2 linked regions of the Stegostoma tigrinum genome follow. The protein of the gene in region 1 purifies or fractionates together with the protein of each later gene. This does not show direct contact. Links are inferred from orthologs where the notes say so. Each region holds a gene or a part of one and is shown in the gene's direction. Other genes may lie near its edges.

Region 1 (11,679 bases):
TGTATAATTTCCACCTGTACTTGATATTCCAAAATGCATCACCTCACATTTGTCCAAATTAAACCCTATCTGCCACTTTTCTGCCCATGCCTCCAGCTGATCCATATCCTGCTGTTTCCTCTGACAATCTTCCTCAATATCCATAACTCCACCAGTCTTTGTATCTATTACTAATTAGACCAGTAACGTTTTCCTCCATTTCATTTATGTAGAACACGAACAGCAGAGGTCCCAGCACTAATCCCTGTGGAACATCACTAGTCACAGCTCTCCATTCCAAAAAGCATCCTTCCACTTCTACGCTTTGTCCCCCATGACTAAGCCAGTTCTATATCCGTCTTGCCAACTCACCCCAATACCATGTGACTTCACCTTTTGAGCGTGGTCAGACGCTTTATTGAAGATCATGTAGACAACAATTGCTTTCCCCTCTTCAATCATCTTCACCACCTCCTCAAAAAAACTTGATCAAATTAGTGAGGCATGACCTCCCCTACACAAAACCATGCTGTCTATCGCTAATACATCCATTTGGTTCTAAATGTATATCGATCTTGTCCCTGAAAATCTTTTCCAATAATTCCTCTACCACTGCGTGAGACTTGCTGGCCTAGAATTTCCGGGATTTTTCCTGCTACCCTTCTTAAACAGGTGGACAACATTGTCTAATCTTCAGTCTTCTGGGATCTCACCTATGGTCAAAGAGGATACAAAGATGTTAGTCACTACTCCGGCAATTTGCTCTCTCACCTCCCTCAATAATCTGGGATAGATCCCATCAGGACTTGACTACCTTAATACTTTTTAAGATGTATTAAAAGGAAGAACACCTCTTTCTTTTTAATAGCAACTTGGTGGATTCCCCTTAATCCTGTTTGCTCATTTTCATGACCCCTTTTAGCACTTCTAATTCCATGTTTAAGTTCTTTCCTACTTTCCTTATATACTTCAAGGGCTTCATCAATTCCTATCCTCCTGGATCTTACATATGCTTCCTTCCTTTCTCCTTCTGATGAAGGTCATCACGTTCCTGGTAATCCCAGGTTCATGTAATTTCCCACACCTATCCTTCATTGTCACAGGAACATGCCACTCCTGAACTCTTATCAAATGCAATTTGAAATACTCCCACATGTCTGATGTAGATTTACCCTCAAACAGCCACCTCCAATAAATATTTTCCAGATCTTGCCTAATATTGTTGTAGTTTGTCTTCCCCCAATTTAGCACCTTCACCTGAGGACAGTTTTGTTATCGCCATCCATGAATATCTTAAAATTCACTGTATTTTGGTCACTACTCCCAAAATGCTCTCCCGCTGAAACTTCACTTACCCGGCCAAGCTCATTTCCCAAAACCAAGTCCAGTATAACCTTTTCCTTGGTTGGACTGTTTACATATTGTGTCAAGAATTCCCACTGAATGGGCCTTACAAACTGTGCCCAATCCAAGTCCCTAGCACAAAGTGAGTCCCAGTCCAGTCCAGAGGGGAAGTTAAAATCACCACCACAACAACGCTGCTGTTCTTACATCTTTCCAAAATCTGCCAACGTATTCTCTCCTCTTTCTCCTGCTGGCTGCTAGGAGACCTGTAGTATGCCCCCAGCATTGTGAGTTCACCTTTCCTATTCCTGAGTTCTACCCATATTGTCTCACTGCATAGCTGTGAGATACTCCTTTACCAGTAACGCAACTCGCCCACCCCTTTTACCTCCCCTTCTATCGCTCCTGAAACATTTAAAACCTGGGACATTCAGCTGCCAGTCCTGTCTGTCTTTCAGCCAAGTCGTCGTAATTGCAATAACTTCATAATTCCATGTACTAACCAAAGCTCTAAGTTCATCTACTTTGCCTATTGTATTTCTCACATTGAAATACAGGCATTTCAGATTACCTCTCCTGGTCTTTTCAGCAGTACTTCCCTCCCTGTTCTTGTTCTTTTTGTTTTCCTTGGTTTCTACCTCTCCCTCAATTGCTGCCTCACTACCCTACTCCTCTGGTTCCCATTCCCCCGCCACATTAAACCCTCCCTAACCATTCTACCAAGTATCTCCTCCAAGGACATCAGTCCTGGTCCTGCCAAGTGTAACCCGTCCAGTTTGTACAGGTTCCAGCCTCACTAGAACCAGTCCTAGTTCACCACAAATCTGAAACCCTCCCCCTCTAAAACCCTCCCCCTCACAATATCTTTCCTGCCACGTGTTCATCCTATATATCCTACTGTTTCTGCTCTGACTAGCTTGTGGCACTGGTAGTAATTCTGAGATAACTACCTTTAAGATCCTACATTTCAACTTTCTACCTAGTTCTCAGTATTCTGCTTTTAGGACCTCATACTTTTTTCATTGATGTCGTTTGTACTAACGTGTAACAACCACTGGCTGTTCGCCCTCCCCCTCCAGAATGTCCTGCAACTACCTCGAGATAACCAGACCCTAACTTAGCACCAGGGAGACAACATACCATCCGAGACTCTTGTTTACAGTCACAGCAATGCCTTCTATTCCCCTTACAAATGAATCTCCAATAACTATAACATTTTTCTGTCTATCTCTACCTCCCTCTGCAGCAGAGCCAACCATCCTGCCATGAATTTGGCTGCTGCTGTTATCCACGAGAGGCTATTCCCCTCAACAGTATCCAAAAATGTATATTTGTTTTGCAGGGGAGTAGCCACAGGAGATTCCCGCATTGACTGCTTAGCCTTGCTGCTCTGCCTGCTGGTTATCCAAACCCTTCCTGCCTGTGGATTCTGAGTTTGCAGTGTGACCATCTCCCTATACGTGCAATCCACAACACTCTCCGTCTTGCAAATGCTCTTCAGTGTCCCCAGACTTCGCTCAAACTCGGAAATTCAGGCTTCCAGGAGCTGCAGCTGGAAACACTTCTTGCACACATGCAGCTCCCGGGCACTGAAAGTGTGCCTGGCTTCCCACATCGAGCAAGAAGAGCAGACTGTGATTTGGAGATCTCCTGCCGTGTCTTATTCCTTTATGTTAATTAATCCTTACAATGTTAAATATTCTTAATACTAAATTGAAGCTTCTGATGCTCTCTGCTCTGATATCGATGTCACAAAACTTACCTGTTACTCACCAACAGTTTCCAGAAAGAGATTAGCCTCACACTCCCTTTATCCGCTGGAACTCTCGCTGCTGACTTTCCTGGTTTTGCTGAGTTGCCACACTCTACCAGTAGATGGGGCTTTGATTCCTTCATGGTCGAGAGAATATAGTTCACTATTTTCTGCCAGAAATGTCCACAGCCACACATCTGAAAAACAGTTCCAAAGCATTTAAACAGTCACTGGGAATGCCAGCATCCAATTAAATGGAGACAGGATGGGTTGGAAAAGCATAAGTCCTAACATTTTAGAGTGAAATTAAAGAGTTGTAATTAGTGCCCATGGCCAGGCTGTGTTAAGTCTGAGCTCCTGCAGTTTAAATACAGACTTGTCCCATTATTTTGTCCAACTCCTACGAGGGTGTATTTATAGCACAAGGAATAAGGAGAGGGGAAAGTGCTTTGACCAGGATCCTGTCAGTTCCCTGCGAAATCCGCAATCTTGTTTACTATGGCATCCTGAGATTTGAAATCAAGAGTCCAGTACATCTGTTTACTTTTTGAAAAAGTCACCACCTACTTTGGAGTGGCATGTTCTGCTGTCGCCTGTGATTCTTGATGAAGTTTGAGTACTGAAGACTAAAGTGCAGGTCAACAGGTTCTGCATGATCTCCAGATTTGCCCCCATCAAAATCACAATGAAATAGTGAAAGATCCAGTATTTGGAAAGTTCAATTGACCCAAAACCCCTTCCCTTTCTATAACACTTATATTTGTGAGAATTATTCCATATATAGTTTTCATTAAAAACAGAAAATGTTGCAAACACTCAGCAAGTCAGGCAGCATCTGTGGGGAGATATACTTCTGATGAAAGGTCATCTTGACCAAAAATGTTACCTATTTCTCTTTCCGCACATGATACTTATCCTGCTGTGTATTTTTAGCATTTTCTATTTCAAATCTCAAGCATCAACACTATTTTCCTGTTTCATTTCATATTACTTTTTCTCTAATCTATCACAATTTTGTTATTTTCATTTTTCCTGTGGCAAAATATTGATCCCATTTGCAAATGATTTGAGGCATTTATGTCATCCAGATTCTCCTAATTACTAATGAAAGCTCAAGAGTTCAGTGGATGAAAATGATAAGTTTCCAGATTCCTATTAATCCAGGTGCACTCTGTAATGTAAAGTTTGATTGATCCAAGTTGTTATTTGCCGTCAATTCAGTTTCCTTGCATGAACTTAATTGTTTAAAAAAGTGAATATTTTCTTTACGCTTTCTTTAGAATGAGTAAATTAGTTAAAAACCATTAATGAAGAACGATTACCTGTTCAAAGCTATAAACTGACAACTTGCAGATTTATCACACTTCTGAAAACCAAACCAATTGGATTTCAGTTCCCATTATCACTGATACAATTGGATTTCAGGTTCTCTTTTTCACTGCACAAGTTCTTTTTTTTTCAGATAGCTGCACATCAATGTGTATAAGTTTAACAGTGTGGAACTTCAGTGAGACTATGTTTGAAGCAGTCAATTCTTTGTGATGAAAATAATTTGGAATGTGCTTGGAAATGATTGGATGGCCCTGCATGGTAAAAAGCTCACGCGAGGGATGCTTGTTTTTAGTTTCACCGCAAAGTCTTGTTTCTCCCGGAAATGGGGACTGCGAATAGTTTTATTCTCACATTTTGTCTAAACTTGGACACCAGTTCCATGACATAAGGCACATTTGATGGAGGTAATGTAATTGCTCATACAGCACTAAAATCGCTTCAATAAAGCCAAAGCATCTTAGCAGTTTCTCCAATTTCTGCTTTTGTTTGAAAACGTTAAAACAAAATAAATATCGGCAGAGGTTGGAAATCTGAAAAAAAATCTTGCTAGAGAAACATTACAGGCCTGGCAGCATCTGTAGAGAGAGTAACGTAGTTACAGATGCTGCTAGATTTGTTAAGTTTCTCCAGCAATTTATATTTTTGTTTTAGATTTCCAACACCCGCAGTTATTTGTTTCATTTTAAGGTCTCAAACACTCGCTGTGCTCTCCAGTACACCTGTGTTTGCATAAAATCTGTGCAGGTTATTTGGAAAGATAAAATGCGCCAAATTCCAGAATCTCTTTTCACTATTCCCTGTTAGCCTCCAGATATTAGATCAACCATGATCATAGTTTATAATCTTGAGGAGCTGACTGGCTCCCTCTTGTCCCTGTGCTCTGATTTGGCCACGGCTAAAATGGTCAAATAACCCACCAAAACCCTATATTGGTTGGTTAGTTACTGAGGACGGAGGGAGGGAGTGTTGACTGGAACAAACCCCAGCAGTCAGTTCTGAGGGAGGGTCACTGGACCCGAAACGTCAACTTTAATATTTTCTTTACAGATGCTGCTAGACCTGCTGTGCTTTTCCAGCAATTTCTGGGTTTTTTGTGAGTTACAGCGTGCGCAGTTTTTTCGGGTTTTTTTTGGTCCCAGCAGTCAGTTCCTGGCTTGATCCCGGCAGTTTTGAAGGATCAGTGGGATGTGTTTCCTTGAAGTGCGCAAGATCCAATACCTAGAGGGCAGTCGCGAACTTCCTTTTGCAAGCTGCAAAAGTTTTGCTGCGCGTCAAAGTACGGGAGCTTATCACAACAAAGAGGAGTTTGGCCGCGGCCATCGCTGGGAAGGTTACAGTATCCCGGGACACAGTTTGTAGCTGGGTCTTGGACGGAAGGAACAAATTGCCGAGCTGAACGATGTACCGGGAGCAGAGGAGTCGGTAGGAGCTGCGAACCAGCCGTCCGCCTTTCTTCTCCCCGCTGGAGAAAGCCGAGCATTAGAGAGAGTTGGAACGATAATCCGCACCCACCTCCAGCTGCCGGATCCCCGAGGAGGTACAGCACCCCCTTCTTCCCCATCCCTGGACCATGGCTTCCATCAAAGCCAAAGCTCTTTACAGCTTCCAGAGTGAGAACCCCGAGGAGATCAGCATCCAAGAGAACGAACAGCTGCTGGTTTTTAACGAGAAGTCTTTGGATGGTTGGCTGGAAGGCCAGAACAGCCGAGGGGACAAAGGGCTCTTTCCAGCTTCTTATGTGGAAATTCTCAAACCCAGTACACCCTTACCCTGTACTTCCAATTCTGCTTTCACTCACCACTCACCAGGGAATTACTCTGCAATTTACTCCCCCATTTCAGCCTCTTCCTACCAACAGGGCAGCTATGAGGAAGATGATGATGATGATTGGGATGATTGGGATGACTCTTCCACTGTGTTTGATGAACCTGGTGTATCCAGTAACACCAATGGCCACAATCATCTCCATCCATACACAGTCTCCCCGTATCCTAATGTGATGTACAGGCAAAAACCATCAGTGGAAAGGCAGGACAGCACTGCCAGCAGGCTCAGCACTAAAAGCAGTGCTGTGGGCAAGAACTTCAACCGCTTCTCAAGTTTTGTTAGATCTGGTGGGGAAGCATTCATCCTGGGTGAAGTGCCTGCTATCTTTAAGACTTCAGAAACCTATAGTGTAGTGATGAGCCCTGATGGGCCTCAGTGGAGTGAGAGCCCTCATCCCTTCACCTGTACCATTGAGGAACCCACGAAGCAAACCAAGTTTAAAGGCATCAAGAGTTACATCTCCTATAAGTTGACACCTAGTCAAACCAACAACCCCGTTTATCGTCGCTACAAACACTTTGACTGGCTACACAATAGGCTGCTGCACAAGTTCTCTGTCATCTCTGTGCCACATCTGCCAGAGAAACAGGCCACTGGCCGATTTGAAGATGATTTCATTGAGAAACGCAAGAGGCGTTTGATTCTGTGGATGGACCACATGACAAGCCATCCAGTGCTTTCCCAGTACGAGGGGTTTCAACACTTCCTGACTTGCACAGACGACCGGGCCTGGAAACAGGGAAAAAGACGGATGGAGAAAGATGAATTAGTTGGTGCCAATTCTTTCCTGACCATCCAAATCCCACAGGAACATCAGGATCTTCAGGATGTGGAGGAGAGGGTGGACACGTTCAAAACCTTCTCTAAGAGGATGGATGACAGTGTGCTGCAACTGACCAATGTGGCCACAGACCTCTGCCGCAAACATGTTGGAGGCTTCAGGAAGGAATTTCAGAAATTAGGCAATGCTTTTAATTCAATAAGTCAGGCTTTTGAATTGGATCAACCACACCTTGCAGTGCCTCTGAACAAGGCCATTTCCAACACGGGCAAAACATATGAAGCCATTGGAGAGTTGTTTGCAGAACAGCCCAAGAATGATCTGTTCCATATGTTGGACACACTTTCTCTGTATCAAGGCCTACTGTCCAATTTCCCAGACATCATTCATGTTCAGAAAGGTAAGCTCATCTCTCAATTATAGCAGATCTCTGAAATGTTGAAGTTCTCCTTGGTATGATAACAACTCACTATTAATGAGTTTGTGCCCATTCATAATTGCTAGGTACAGAAAATAAACTGCTTTAAACCTCAATTTTATCTTCCTAGCTCTGTTGGTGTATATCTGTTATTTGTTCAACTCAATGTCCAAGGACATTCATTGTATTAATAATCTGTGATGATCTTGTCCTGCTCAAGGGAAAGATATTATTGATAGTGGACAAGCAAAATATCTGTACAGAGTGAACCTAGGATTATATCAGATAGGCCATAAAGATAAGCAGTGTTGCATGAGAATCTGTATGCACTGAAAACCACTCGGTATGTTACAGAAGGAGAAGTGTATCACACTATGAGAACTGTGCAAACTATGTGTGGACTGCATAGCTCATTACATTAAACAAGGGGACTTAATGGACTGAACTTACAGGAGGAACTGTATGGGTTTGCTGCTCCAGAGCCAAGGTTTGGGCTGTGGGAGGTTGTCGTGTATCACATGGGATCTGTGTGGTCCCCAGGTAGATGCACAGATTATTAAGATGTGTGCAATCTATGTTCATTGTACTTGTTACTCCATATCTATTGGCCAAAATGAAGACTGTGACTTAGAAGCTAGTTCATTGAGACATCCAAATTGGTTTTGATTTACTGTAGAATATATTGAAAAGGATTTCAACAGAGTTTGAAATGATAATATATTTATATTTATTTGTGCCTTCACCTTCAAGGGAAGCAAGTCTCTCTAACAATTGATATTGGAAAAATTTGGAGTATTTGGTCTTGAGTGTTAAATTGAGCTTTAGCCTCTCCCATTTTGTAGTATTTTCTAACCCTTTTTCTTGTCTGTGTCCTCCAGTGACACGGGCAGGCAGTGCTGATATGAAGTAAGAACTGCCGATGCTGGAGTCTGAGATAACAAGGTGTGGAGCTGGGGGAACACAGCAGGCCAGGCAGCATCAGAAGAGCAGGAAAGCTGACACTTCGGTTTGGGACCCTTCTTCAGAAATGGGGGAGGCGAAGGGGGCTCTGAAATAAATAGAGAGGTGGGGGAGACGATGATAGAAGTGAATAGTGGAGTGGATAGGTGGGAGAGAAGACAGACAGGTGAAGGACGCGAGGATGAAGCTAGTAAAGGTGAGCATAGGTAGGAAGTGGTGGTGGGGATTGGCCAGTGAGGTGGAAGGAGTGGTTATGTGGGAGAGAAGACAGATAGGTCAAGGAGGCAGCAATGAGAATGGGGGAGCTGGTCTTGGGATGAGATCGGGGGTGGGGAGATTTTGAAGCTGGTTGAGGGAGGGGTGGATCTGACACAACTTTGCATGGCAATATAGCTGAGACTAGGGGCTCATGCTCCTTGGCAGCCTAGATGGCTGGTTCAAAACCATCTCATTCCAAGCCTGGGTATATACCATCATTGTACTGGCTCATCTGTGGCTCAGTGGGTCGATGTTGCTTCTGATTCAGAATGTTGTGAGTTCAAGCCCCACTCCTGAGACTACAAGCATTTCAGCAAGTACTCCTCATCATTGGCAGTCCTTTGCAGATGAGGATGTCTCTCTTTCACTGTCAGGATGAGTGTGTAGATGGTTGAATGGACTGATGTGACAGTTACGAGCTCTGATATACATGGGGCATGTGGTGATCATGGGAAGGGGTGGGTGGAGTATTGGTGTGGCAGCATGCTGTTTTCACCTGTCTTCCATTTTTTTCCTGATGGCAAGTCTGTGTGCATGATAACTTCTTGGATGTTTCTCCTCCACCTTGTATGGTCTTGAGCCAGTGATTTGCTGGTGTCTGTGGCAATGATGCACTTTGCCACTGAGGTCTTGAGGCTATCGCAGAAGCACTTCCTCTGTCCACCTAGGGCGTGCCTGCTGTTTCAGGAGTAGAGCATCTGATGGGGAGTCTCATGCCGGTCTTGTGAACGACATGCCCAGCTCAGTGTGGCCGATCAAAGGTAGCCAGTGCCTTCATGCTGAGGATGTTGGCCTGTTTGAGGACTAGTGTCGATCTTTCTTCCCTGTGGATTTGCAGGATCTTATGCAGAGTGTGTTGGTGGTACTGTTCCAGTGCACTGGGACATCTGCTGCCAGCCAGTAGTAAGGTAGTGCCACACTGGTGAAGTGCTGTCTTTCTTGATGAGACAGTGGATAAGGGGAAAAGCAGGGGAATTCTCCTTTATGTGAACCAACATCACTAAAACAAAAACACTGGAGATTTTCATATTGCTGTTTGTGATAGGTTTGCTGTGCACAAGTTTGCAGCTATGTCACTACGACAGTGACAAAGCTTATAAAAGTGCATCACTGGCTGTGAATAGTTTAGGATGTCCTGAGGTGTTCCTCTCGTGGATTTTGAATTAATGGAAAAGGCTTAGCAGGAAATGTACATAATTCCCTCACCCTGTAAATGACTACCCACTTGTACCTGGGAAAGCAGAATGTTATTAAGTGTGTACAGCTCTAAAGTCACAAGCAATAGAAATAGTTGTTCTGTATCATGACGGTCTGTAATTGTTTCAGTAGAAGCCGAGCGGTATCGTGTTTGAGTTGGGGAGTGATATTTGTCTCAGCCTCTGAGGAATTTGCATTTTTGAGTGCTCAGAGAATAATCTATCATATATGTGTCACAGACTCATCTTTGCAATGAGCCTATCACCACTTTTCACTTCTGGACAGACTGGTTAGAATGGTTTAATGATAAACTTTCAACAGATAAAAATGGAGCAGTGACAATGGCATCAGCATCACAAAGAAGAGCTGTTCGTCCCCATTCCACCTGAGCTGTCAGCACCCTTTGACAGGATAAACATAGCATCCACCTCCAGAATCTCTTCAATTCTGTCTGGCTGGATGTGGCTCTGCTCCCCTGGTTCCACGGAGATTATCATAGAGTCTTAGCAGAAAGGAAGATGGTTGTGAGTGATGAAGTCAGTCAACTCAGCTCCAGATTTACTGCAGGACTTCGTTAGGGTTGTGTCTTTGGACCACCCATCTCAGCTGCTTCATCAATGACTTTCCATCCAACATAAGGTTGGAAATGGGGAAGTTCGCTGATGATTGCACAATGATCGTCACCACGCGTATGTTCTCAGATACTGAAGCAGTCCATGTCCAGATGCAGCAGGACTTGGACGTATATCCTGACTTGGGCTGAAAAGTGACAAGTAACATAAGTGCCACACAGGTGACAAATAATCTGCCAACAAGAGAGAATCAAACCAAACATTCCTTGATATTCAAAGACATTACTACTATTGATTCCCTCAGTATCAACCAGAAACTGGACTGGACTGAACCGGATATATAAAGACTGGCTACAAGAGTGGGTTAGAGGCTGGAAGTCCTGCAATGAGTAGCTCACCTCCTGACTCCTCAAAGCCATCCCCCAGCAAAGGCACAAGTCAGGAGTGTGATGGAATTCTCCTCGCTTGACTGGATGAGGGCAGCTTCAAAAACACTCTAGAAGCTTAGCACCATCCAGGACAAAATAGACTGCTTGATTGGCATTACATCTAGAAACATTCATTTCCGACACCACTGATGCTCCACAGTCAGTAGTGTCCGTCATCTACCAGATGCATCGCAGAAATTCACCAAGGCTCCTTCGGCAGCACCTTCCAAATCTACAACAACCATGAGTTAGACGGCCAAAGGCAGCAGACGCATGCAACACCACCTCTTGCAAGTTACTCTCCGTGTCACTTATCATTCTGCCTTGAAACAGTGTTGATATTTGTTCAATGTCACTGAGTCAAAATCCTGGAAGTCCACTCCTAACAACATCGCGGGTTTACCGACAGCAAGTGGTCTTCAGTGATTCGAGAAGGCAGCTCACCACTACCACCTTCGGTACGATTAGAGTGGGACAATAGATGCTGACCCAGATAGCGAAGCCACTTGTTATAACGCAGCGGACCTGTCTCGATGAGTGCTGTATTCCACTGAAGACCTCTACCCAGCCATAATGTACCCCCAGTGTTATACAGCAGTGAAGCTGTATCCCCAGAATTGGATTCTAGTGTTATACCATGATGAACCTGTAACCAGTTGTACTTTATCCAATGTTATAAAGCAATGGATATATATCTACTGGAATTGAACTGTTGTGTTCTACAGTGATAAATTTGTCTCCACCAGTACTCTACCCAGTGTAATACAGTGACAGACCTGCCCCCTCCAATACCATACCCCTGTGTTGTAAAGATCTGTCTCCATTAGTAC
Region 2 (11,647 bases), on another chromosome or scaffold:
GGACGTTTAAAGATCCTGCTAAGATTTCAAGATCGAGCCACTAATTACACTACGATAACAGACCAAACCAAATTAGCCTCCCTATCCCTGGATTTGTAGTACAGTAAAATCAAAACATCAAACAATTTCTAAGCAGCCTTTACTAATAAATTATTGTTTCTTTCAGTGTATCGGGTATCTGTTATTTGTAATGATGAAAGTTTAGCAGAACATGGATAAGTCAATCTACATAGTATCAATAATCTAAGCCCAATCTTCTTTAACGACCACTGACATTCTCAGACAAGGCACAGATAAGGGATAAATTTAAAGAATTTAATTTGCCAATTCAATGATCTCATGGTAGGTACTAGGGCTTCAGAAATTCTTGACCAATGTTTTATATTCCAGTCCCGTAGAGTTTTATAATCTTGCTTGAATTTCAAAGTCACCAATTCATGCAAACAGTGTCTGCAGACTGCCGAAGATGTACTTGGAATTCTTTCCTTGAAGCCTTCAACAGTTCTTTAACTGGGTATCAAACTAGAGAGACTAAAGCTCAAAATTGCTTTTGTTACAAAATACTGCACGTGCACAACCTTCTGCCTAAAACCTTAACCTAAACCAAACCCATTCAAACTATGGTTTTGTTTTTCGCAGCGTTCTCTCTGAAGGGCTGACCAACAATATTCTACCCTTGATTTGACCAATTCAACATCCAACTAGCTGCTAGTCGCTGAGAAACCCATCTTGGTATTGAAAAGTCTGTAGCATTCCAGGAGCTGCAATTTATCTCTCCAGGCCAGTCCCATAAACATCAGATTATGTTCTCTCTCTTTCTTCCCAAAATGAGTTGCTGGTCAAAATCTGACCTCAACTCTCCAATCCAAACCAAAAATTTGAAAAGAAAATGATGGTCTCAAGACATTTGAAGGCCTGAATCGAAACTGCCCCAACCCTGACCCTCCCTAATATTCTACTTCCTAATTTCCTCCTGTGTAAAAAAAAAAGTCTTCCCCCCCCCCCCCCACCCCCCCTCATGTGGCCATTGCTACTTTGGCCAATCATTTCTAATCTGTACCCTCTGGTTCTGGTCCTGTCCACTGCTGGGAAATTTTTTCTTCCCTATTTACTCTGTTCAGATCCTTCATGATTTTGAATACCTCGAACAACTTTCACATCATCTTCAAGGAGAACAGTCCTAGTTTTTCAAATGTATCTATGTAACTGAAGTTCCTCATTACTGAATTGTTCTCCTGAATCTTTTATCATGAATCATCCCAATGTATTCGCCCACCCTTGCAAATGTGTGCTGCTCAGCACTGGACAACGTATTGCAAGTGAAATCAAAACTGTGTGTTTTAGACTCTTCTCATCATTTCTCTGGTACTCCATGACCCTATTTATAAAGCCCAAAATCTTGTCTGCTTTATTAAACTCCTCAACCTGCGATGGCATTTCAATGATCTGCATATTCGCCTCTAGATCCATGTATTTTGGCACCACTTTAGAATTGCGCCCTTTAGTTTTTGTTGCCTCTTCTGTCATTAAACTAATAACCCAGAACCCCAGGCTAATGGTCTGGGACATGGGTTCAAATCCTACATTGGCAGATCATGAGGTTTGATTTTTAAAAATCTTATTTTGAAAGCCAGTCTGAAACCACAGTGACCACTCAGCATCAACCTAGGTGCCAGAAATGAGAGTGACAGCCCCTGAAAAGTCCTTCTCACTAATATCCATGTCGCAGTATTAAAATTGGGAGAGATGTTCCACAGACTAGCTGAATAACTGCCTGACATACTCATACTCATCTGCATGACACAGTAACCAATAATCATTGCACAGTGTATTGATTGAAAGCAGGTGGACCTCGATAACTGAGGTTCTTGATTGAAGTTATTAACCCGGGCCAGTCATTCCCAATTTGGTCCCAACCATGACCACATCTACATCCAGAACATTGAGACCCTTCAGAAGCATTTCTCCCTGCAAGTCCTGAAACACATACTCTCAGCAATGTGCCGGCATCTCCAGGCACTGCAATCCAGCCTGCCCCAGCTCTCAGCCTCCCTCTCCCAGACCTGCGGAGGACCTCTCCTGTTTGTTATCCTTCATAGGATCTACAAACTGAACACACAGTTCTACTCAGCTTTACTGTACACGAAAAACTGTAAGTACAATAAACTCACTGGTCCCTGCCACCTTAAACAGGATTCCTCCCACCTCCCAAATCCCCAGCCTGACCCTGCACCTCCCCCACAATCTATCAGCCGCCATTAGCCATGAGGCCACTGACCGAGAACCCACTGATAACGTCACATCCGCCACCGCCGCGTACACCACTTCCGGGACCACGAACGCGACTGCTGCTGTAGCCACCGCCTCCACTTCCAGAACTAACACCACAAACATCTCCCTCACCGTCACTGTTGCCGCCCACCCCGCTCCGTCCACCGGTGATGCCACTTCGCCCACCACAGATGCCAACTCCACTCTGCCCACTGCTGATAGAACCCCGCCCACAGCCAGCAACCCCAGAGAAGACAGCCACACTGAGCCCTGTCGAATCTTCACCTTCCCCCCCCCCCCCCCCCCCCCAGACCTCCCACTGACTGAGGATGAATGGTCAGTCCTTAGCAAGGGGCTCACCTTTGTTCCCCCTCCATCCACACATAACGAATACCAGTCAGGTTTGGACGCCGAGCAGTTTTTCCGCCGCCTTCGCCTCCATGCTTACTTCTCTGACTGTGAGCCTAACCCTCCCTCTGCTGACCCCTTCACCTGCCTCCAACACAAGTCCTCCTCCTGGACACCACCCTCCCTCAACCTCTTCATCTCCAACTGCCATTGAGACATCAATCGCGTCAACCTCTCCACCCCTCTCACCCACTCCAACCTCTCCCCTGCAGAAAGTGCAGCCCTCCGCTCCAATCCCAACCTCACCATGAAACCCGCAGACAAGGAGGCGCAGTGGTAGTATGGCGCACTGACCTCTACATCGCCGAGGCCAGACGCCAACTCTCCGACACCGCCTCCTACCGCCCCCTGGATCATGACCCCCCCCCCCCCCACCCCGAGCAACAAACCATCATCTCCCAAACCATCCACAACCTCATCGCCTCAGGTGACCTCCCACCCACAGCCTCCAACCTCATTGTTCCCCAACCCTGCAACGCCCACTTCTATCTCCTTCCCAAAACCTACAAACCTGCTGGCCCTGGTCGACCCATTGTCTCCGCCTGCTCCTGCCCCACCAAACACGAATCCACCTATCTGGACTCCATTTTCTCCCCCTTGTTCCAGGAACTCCCTACCTATGTCCATGACACCACCCACTCCCTCCACCTCCTCCAGAACTTCCAATTCCCCGTTCCCCAACACCTCATTTTCACCATGGACGTCCAGTCCCTATACACCTGCATTCCCCGTGCAGATGGCCTAAAGGCACTCCGCTTCTTCCTGTCTTGCAGGCCCGACCAGACCCCCTCTACTGACACCCTCATCCGCCTAGCCAAACTCGTCCTCACCCCCAACAACTTCTCTTTCGATTCCTCCCACTTCCTACAGACAAAGGGGGTGGCCGTGGGTACCTGCATGGGCCCAAGCTATGCCTGCCCCTTTGTAGGTTATGTGGAACAGTCCCTCTTCCGTACCTACACTGGCCCTAAACCCCATCTCTTCCTCTGTTACATTGATGACTATATCGGCGCCGCCTCGTGCTCCCAAGAGGAGCTCAAACAGTTCATCCACTTCACCAACACATTCCACCTCAACCTCAAGTTCACTTGTACCATCTCCAACACATCCCTCCCCTTCCTGTCTCCATCTCAGGCAACCACCATTTCAAGATATCCATTTCAAGCCCACCGACTCCCACAGCTACCTGGAATACACCACCTCCCACCCACCTTCCTGAAGAAATTCCATCCCCTGTTCCCAATTCCTTCGCCTTCACTGCATCTGCTCCCAGGATGAGGCATTCCACTCCCATACATTCCAGATGTCTTCTTTCTTCAGGGGCTGCAACTGCACCGCACCCCACTCCTCCCCCCCCCCCCCCCCCCCGGCAGTGCTCGAGAACACCCTCGACCATGTCTCCTGCATTTCCCGTAACTCATCCCTCACACCCCGTCCCTGCAATACCCGCCAAAAGAGAATCCCCCTCATCCTCACATACCACCCCACCAACCTCCGGACATAATGCATCATCCTCCCAACACTTCTGCCGTCTACAATCCGACACCACCACCAAAGACATTTTTCCATCCCCACCCTTATGTGCTTTCTGGAAAGACCACTCTCTCTGGGACTCCCTTGTCCGCTCCACACTCCTCTCCAACCCCAGCACGCCTGGCACTTTCCCCTCCAACCGCAAGAAGTGCTACACTTGCCCCCATTCCTCCTCCCACACGCCCATCCCAGGCCCCAAGATGACTTTCCACATTAAGCAGATGTTCACCCGCACATCTGCCAATGTGGTATACTGCATCCGCTGTACCATTGTGGCTTCCTCTACATTGGGGAAACCAAGCGGAGGCTTGGGGACTGCATTGCAGAGCACCTCTGCTTGGTTCGCAATAAACAACTGCACCTCCCAGTCACGAACCATTTCAACTCCCCCTCGCCTTCCTTAGACAACATGTCTGTCCTGGGCCTCCTGCAGTGCCATAACGATGCCACCCGAAGGTTGCAGGAATAGCAACTCAAATTCTGCTAGGGAACCCAAAACACTGCATCCCAAAACCAGCCCAGCTCGTCCCCACCTCCCTAACCTGTTCTTCCTCTCAGCTATCCCCTCCTCCTACCTCAAGCCACACCTCCATCTCCTATCTACCTACCTACCTACTAACCCAATGGGACGCCCCATTGACCTGTCCCCTCCCTACCTCCCCACCTACACTCGCCTTTAGTGGCTCCATTCCCGCCCCTTTTAACTTGTCTGTCTCCTCTCCACCCCTCTTCTCCTCTGTTCACCTTCGATCTGCCTCCCCCTTTCTCCCTATTTATTTCAGAATCCTCTCCCAATCCCCCTCTTTGATGAAGGGTCGAGCCTCGAAACGTCAGCTTTTGTGCTCCTAAGATGCTGCTTGGCCTGCTGTGTTCATCCAGCTCCACACTTTGTTACCCTAGTCAGGAAAGCCCTGGCTGAACAATATGATCAGGAGTTGAGAATCTCCTCAGTTCAGGGGACTGACTCTCGGCTAGCTGGCTACAGCCTGTGTAGCGTGTGCATGGAGATAAAGGATGATTTTGGTGGTGGGGCGCCAGCCTCCGTGCAGTTATTTCACATGGAGAATTGGTTGGGAGCCCTCAATATTGACATGGGCCTCCATGAGGTCTCGTGGCATCAGGTCAAACAGAGGCAATGAAACTTCGTGCTGATCACCACATACCAGTCCAAATCCTGGTCTTTGTTTATGAATCAATGCTCCTCGTTGAACACCACTTGGGGTGGCAAAGGACAGCAGGTACGCTGGATGGGAAATTTCAATGTCCATCAGCAGTAGTTTGGCAGCACCAGTAACAAGTTCAACCATGACTGTGTTAAAGCAGCAGAGCAAGTCTGAGGGGCCATATGATCTATTTCAGTGTCCTGTCAATGTCATTTACATGCTTCTTGATGCATTTCCACTTCCTTTCAAATGCTCCACTTTTTTTTCGTTATTTCAAATTTCCTTCTTTTGAAATGATCACAGATCATCCATCATCACCCCACTCTTTTATTCCTGCTGCCAACCTGCTTGAAACCTGTATTACAGTATCTTTTACTTAAACCAATTCTACTGAAATGTTAAGATAATAAAATGTGAGGCTGGATGAACACAGCAGGCCAAGCAGCATCTCAGGAGCACAAAAGCTGACGTTTCGGGCCTAGACCCTTCATCAAAGAGGGGGATTGGGAGAGGATTCTGAAATCTGATGAAGGGTCTAGGCCCGAAACGTCAGCTTTTGTGCTCCTGAGATGCTGCTTGGCCTGCTGTGTTCATCCAGCCTCACATTTTATTATCCAGAGAATCTCCAGCATCTGCAGTTCCCATTATCTCTGATACTACTGAAATGTTAAATGTGTTTCTCTCTACAGAGGTATTGTCTAAACACCTGAGGTCTTTCCAATTTTTTTTTCAAATTTCAGATTTTCTTCTGGATTATTTTCCAGTTGTTTTTATGCACCTTTCCTGCTGTATGGCACAATGCTACGTATCTGGGTGTGTACTCAGCTTCGTCAGTTCGTCTGGAGGGTCTGAGCCCGAAACGTCAGCTTTTGTGCTCCTGAGATGCTGCTTGGCCTGCGGTGTTCATCCAGCTCCACACTTTGTTATCCTGGTCTGTTCGCTTCCTGGTCAGTAACAACAGGGAAGGGAGGGTGGAAGCATGACCTCATCGGTCTCCAATCGGTTCTGGCCGTGGATGACTGACGTGCAGGAGAAGCCAATGAAGGGTTAGGAAGGCGGGGATAATGGGACCTGCCAATGCTGGAGAATCCGAGATAACAAGGTGTGGAGCTGGATGGACACAGAAGGCCGAGCAGCATCTCAGGAGCAGAAAGGCTGACGTTTCGGGCCCAGAGCCTTCCGAAACATAAGCTTTCCTGCTCCTAAGATGCTGCGTGGCCTGTTGTGTTCATCCAGCAGTTATATTGGAGAGGAAGGCGGGTCAGCTTTCGGAACGCGGGGGAGCGAATCAGTGACGGAATCACTATGATCGACAGGGACCTTAGCCAATGATTGGTCATATGGGTGGTGACATCTGACTGATGTCCAATGCACCCATTCAGAATGAGCGATGTTGTGATTGACGGAGGAATGTCCAATCTAATTGGGCCAGAATGGGTGACGCACCCAGGAAAGGCGTCATTACAAGGGCAGGCCGTGCGATGAATGGCTTAGATTCGGATGATTGGCGGTAGATCTGGCGAGTGGGATGTGCCCGGTTATCCGGCGGGCCTAGGGTGTGAGCGGAAGCGCAGGCCTCAGGCGCTGGGAGTGAATCAGTCCCCGAGCGGCGCAATGGGGAACCGGGGGATGGAGGATCTGATCCCGCTGGTTAACAAGCTGCAGGACGCTTTCAGCTCCATCGGTCAGAGCTGTAATCTCGACCTGCCGCAGATCGCCGTCGTGGGAGGGCAAAGCGCCGGCAAAAGCTCGGTGTTGGAGAACTTCGTCGGCAGGTGGGGGCGGGGGGGAGAGACTGAATGTGTAAATCGGGAGAAAGGGAGAGAGAGGGGGAATGTGTAAACTGGGGGAAAGTGTAAACCGGGGGAAAGGGGGGGGAGAGAGAGAGAGGGGGAACGTGTAAACCGGGGGAAAGGGGGGGAGAGAGAGAGAGAGGGGGAACGTGTAAACCGGGGGAAAGGGGGGGAGAGAGAGAGAGAGAGAGAGAGGGGGGGGAACGTGTAAACCGGGGGAAAGGGGGGGAGAGAGAGAGAGAGAGAGGGGGGGGGGACGTGTAAACCGGGGGAAAGGGGGAGAGAGAGAGAGAGAGAGGGGGGGGAACGTGTAAACCGGGGGAAAGGGGGGGAGAGAGAGAGAGAGGGGGAACGTGTAAACCGGGGGAAAGGGGGAGAGAGAGAGAGAGAGAGAGGGGGGGGAACGTGTAAACCGGGGGAAAGGGGGGGGGAGAGAGAGAGGGGGGGGAACGTGTAAACCGGGGAAAGGGGGGGAGAGAGAGAGAGAGAGGGGGGGAACGTGTAAACCGGGGGAAAGGGGGGGAGAGAGAGAGAGAGGGGGAACGTGTAAACCGGGGGAAAGGGGGAGAGAGAGAGAGAGGGGGGGAACGTGTAAACCGGGGGAAAGGGGGAGAGAGAGAGAGAGGGGGGGAACGTGTAAACCGGGGGAAAGGGGGAGAGAGAGAGAGAGAGGGGGGGGAACGTGTAAACCGGGGGAAAGGGGGGGGGGGAGAGAGAGAGAGAGAGAGAGAGAGGGGGGGGGAACGTGTAAACCGGGGGAAAGGGGGAGAGAGAGAGAGAGGGGGGGAACGTGTAAACCGGGGGAAAGGGGGAGAGAGAGAGAGAGAGAGGGGGGGAACGTGTAAACCGGGGGAAAGGGGGGGGGAGAGAGAGAGGGGGGGGGAACGTGTAAACCGGGGAAAAGGGGGGGGAGAGAGAGAGAGAGAGAGGGGGGGGGAACGTGTAAACCGGGGGAAAGGGGGGGAGAGAGAGAGAGAGGGGGAACGTGTAAACCGGGGGAAAGGGGGAGAGAGAGAGAGAGGGGGGGAACGTGTAAACCGGGGGAAAGGGGGGAGAGAGAGAGAGAGGGGGGGGAACGTGTAAACCGGGGAAAGGGGGGGGGAGAGAGAGAGAGAGGGGGGGGGAACGTGTAAACCGGGGGAAAGGGGGGGGGGGAGAGAGAGAGAGAGAGAGAGGGGGGGGGAACGTGTAAACCGGGGGAAAGGGGGGGGGGGAGAGAGAGAGAGAGAGAGAGGGGGGGGGAACGTGTAAACCGGGGAAAAGGGGGGGAGAGAGAGAGAGAGAGAGGGGGGGGAACGTGTAAACCGGGGGAAAGGGGGGGGAGAGAGAGAGAGAGAGGGGGGGGGAACGTGTAAACCGGGGGAAAGGGGGGGGAGAGAGAGAGAGAGAGAGAGGGGGGAACGTGTAAACCGGGGAAAGGGGGGAGAGAGAGAGAGAGGGGGGGGAACGTGTAAACCGGGGGAAAGGGGGGAGAGGGAGAGAGAGGGGGGGAACGTGTAAACCGGGGGAAAGGGGGGGGGGGAGAGAGAGAGAGAGAGAGAGAGGGGGGGGGAACGTGTAAACCGGGGAAAAGGGGGGGAGAGAGAGAGAGAGAGAGGGGGGGGAACGTGTAAACCGGGGGAAAGGGGGGGAGAGAGAGAGAGAGAGGGGGGGGAACGTGTAAACCGGGGGAAAGGGGGGGAGAGAGAGAGAGAGAGAGAGGGAGGGGGGGAACGTGTAAACCGGGGAAAGGGGGGGAGAGAGAGAGAGGGGGGGGGGAACGTGTAAACCGGGGGAAAGGGGGGGAGAGAGGGGGGGGGGGGAACGTGTAAACCGGGGGAAAGGGGGGGGAGAGAGAGAGAGGGGGGGGAACGTGTAAACCGGGGGAAAGGGGGGGAGAGAGAGAGAGGGGGGGGGAACGTGTAAACCGGGGGAAAGGGGGGGAGAGAGAGAGAGGGGGGGGACGTGTAAACCGGGGGAAAGGGGGGGAGAGAGAGAGAGGGGGGGAACGTGTAAACCGGGGGAAAGGGGGAGAGAGAGAGAGAGAGGGGGGGAACGTGTAAACCGGGGGAAAGGGGGGGAGAGAGAGAGAGAGAGGGGGGGGGGAACGTGTAAACCGGGGAAAGGGGGGGAGAGAGAGAGAGGGGGGGGAACGTGTAAACCGGGGGAAAGGGGGGGAGAGAGAGAGAGGGGGGGGAACGTGTAAACCGGGGAAAGGGGGGGGAGAGAGAGAGAGGGGGGAACGTGTAAACTGGGGAAAGGGGGGGGGGAGAGAGAGAGAGAGGGAACGTGTAAACTGGGGAAAGGGGGGGGGAGAGAGAGAGAGAGGGAACGTGTAAACTGGGGGAAAGGGGGGGAGAGGGAGAGAGAGAGAGAGAGGGAACGTGTAAACTGGGGGAAAGGGGGGGAGAGGGAGAGAGAGAGAGGGGAACGTGTAAACTGGGGGAAAGGGGGGGAGAGGGAGAGAGAGAGAGGGAACGTGTAAACTGGGGGAAAGGGGGGGAGAGGGAGAGAGAGAGAGGGAACGTGTAAACTGGGGGAAAGGGGGGGGAGAGGGGGAGAGAGAGAGGGAACGTGTAAACTGGGGGAAAGGGGGGGAGAGGGGAGAGAGAGAGAGAGGGAACGTGTAAACTGGGGGAAAGGGGGGGGGAGAGAGAGAGAGAGGGAACGTGTAAACTGGGGAAAGGGGGGGGGAGAGAGAGAGAGAGGGAACGTGTAAACTGGGGGAAAGGGGGGGAGAGGGAGAGAGAGAGAGAGAGGGAACGTGTAAACTGGGGGAAAGGGGGGGAGAGGGAGAGAGAGAGGGAACGTGTAAACTGGGGAAAGGGGGGGGCGAGGGAGAGGGGGAGAGAGAGAGAGAGGGAACGTGTAAACTGGGGGAAAGGGGGGGGAGAGGGAGAGAGAGAGAGAGAGGGAACGTGTAAACTGGGGGAAAGGGGGGGGAGAGGGAGAGAGAGAGAGAGAGAGGGAACGTGTAAACTGGGGGAAAGGGGGGGGAGAGGGAGAGAGAGAGAGAGAGGGAACGTGTAAACTGGGGGAAAGGGGGGGGGGCGAGGGAGGGAGAGAGAGAGGGAACGTGTAAACTGGGGGAAAGTGGGGGGGGGAGAGGGAGAGAGAGAGAGAGAGGGAACGTGTAAACTGGGGGAAAGGGGGGGGGAGAGGGGGGGAGAGAGAGAGAGAGAGAGAGAGAGGGGGGGGAACGTGTAAACTGGGGGAAAGTGTAAACCGGGGGAAAGGGGGGGGGAGAGAGAGGGGGGGGGAACGTGTAAACCGGGGGAAAGGGGGGGGGGAGAGAGAGAGAGAGAGAGGGGGGGGGAACGTGTAAACCGGGGGAAAGGCGGGGGGAGAGAGAGAGAGGGGGGGGGGGGGAACGTGTAAACCGGGGGAAAGGGGGGGGAGAGAGAGAGAGAGAGGGAACGTGTAAACTGGGGGAAAGCGGGGGGGGAGAGAGAGAGAGAGAGAGAGGGAACGTGTAAACTGGGGGAAAGGGGGGGGGGCGAGGGAGGGAGAGAGAGAGGGAACGTGTAAACTGGGGGAAAGGGGGGGGGAGAGGGAGGGAGAGAGAGAGGGAACGTGTAAACTGGGGGAAAGGGGGGGGGGAGAGGGGGAGAGAGAGAGAGAGGGAACGTGTAAACTGGGGGAAAGGGGGGGGAGAGGGAGAGAGAGAGAGAGAGGGAACGTGTAAACTGGGGGAAAGGGGGGGGAGAGGGGGAGAGAGAGAGAGAGAGAGGGAACGTGTAAACTGGGGGAAAGGGGGGGGGAGAGAGAGAGAGAGGGAACGTGTAAACTGGGGGAAAGGGGGGGGGAGAGAGAGAGAGAGAGAGGGAACGTGTAAACTGGGGGAAAGGGGGGGGGAGAGGGAGAGAGAGAGAGAGAGGGAACGTGTAAACTGGGGGAAAGGGGGGGAGAGAGAGAGAGAGAGGGAACGTGTAAACTGGGGGAAAGGGGGGGAGAGAGAGAGAGAGAGGGAACGTGTAAACTGGGGGAAAGGGGGGTAGAGGGAGAGAGGGAATGTGAAACCGGGGGGAAGGGGGGGAGAGAGAGAGAGAGAGAGGGAACGTGTAAACCGGGGGAAAGGGGGAGAGAGAGAGAGAGGGAACGTGGAAACCGGGGGAAAGGGGGAGAGAGTGAGAGAGGGAACGTGAAACCGGGGGAAAGGGAGAGAGAGAGAGAGAGAGGGAACGTGTAAACTGGGGGAAAGGGGGGGAGAGAGAGAGAGAGAGAGGGAACGTGTAAAGGGGGGGAGAGAGAGAGAGAGGGAACGTGTAAACCGGGGGAAAGGGGGGGAGTGAGAGAGACAGAGAGGGAACGTGTAAACCGGGGGAAAGTGGGGGAGAGAGAGAGAGAGGGAACGTGCAAACCGGGGGAAAGGGGGGGGAAGAGAGAGAGAGGGGGAACGTGTAAACCGGGGGAAAGACGGGGGGGGAGAGAGAGAGAGGGGGAACGTGTAAACCGGGGAAAGGGGGGGCGGAGAGAGAGAGGGGTGAACGTGTAAACCGG

What was found.
Region 2: the proteins of snx33 (region 1) and dnm2a purify together in Homo sapiens (co-immunoprecipitation; 3 studies listed by BioGRID and IntAct, with this or other methods). This does not show direct contact. The link is inferred for Stegostoma tigrinum from reciprocal best matches to the Homo sapiens genes SNX33 and DNM2.

What each region holds. Positions count from the first base shown.
Region 1 is NC_081389.1:25,229,492-25,241,170, forward strand, and holds the start of snx33 (sorting nexin-33), read left to right. Parts: upstream 1-5,627; 5' UTR 5,628-5,978; coding exon 5,979-7,416; intron 7,417-11,679. UniProt on the Homo sapiens protein: Plays a role in the reorganization of the cytoskeleton, endocytosis and cellular vesicle trafficking via its interactions with membranes, WASL, DNM1 and DNM2. Acts both during interphase and at the end of mitotic cell divisions.
Region 2 is NC_081388.1:24,862,735-24,874,381, forward strand, and holds the start of dnm2a (dynamin-3), read left to right. Parts: upstream 1-6,765; 5' UTR 6,766-6,875; coding exon 6,876-7,150; intron 7,151-11,647. UniProt on the Homo sapiens protein: Catalyzes the hydrolysis of GTP and utilizes this energy to mediate vesicle scission at plasma membrane during endocytosis and filament remodeling at many actin structures during organization of the actin cytoskeleton.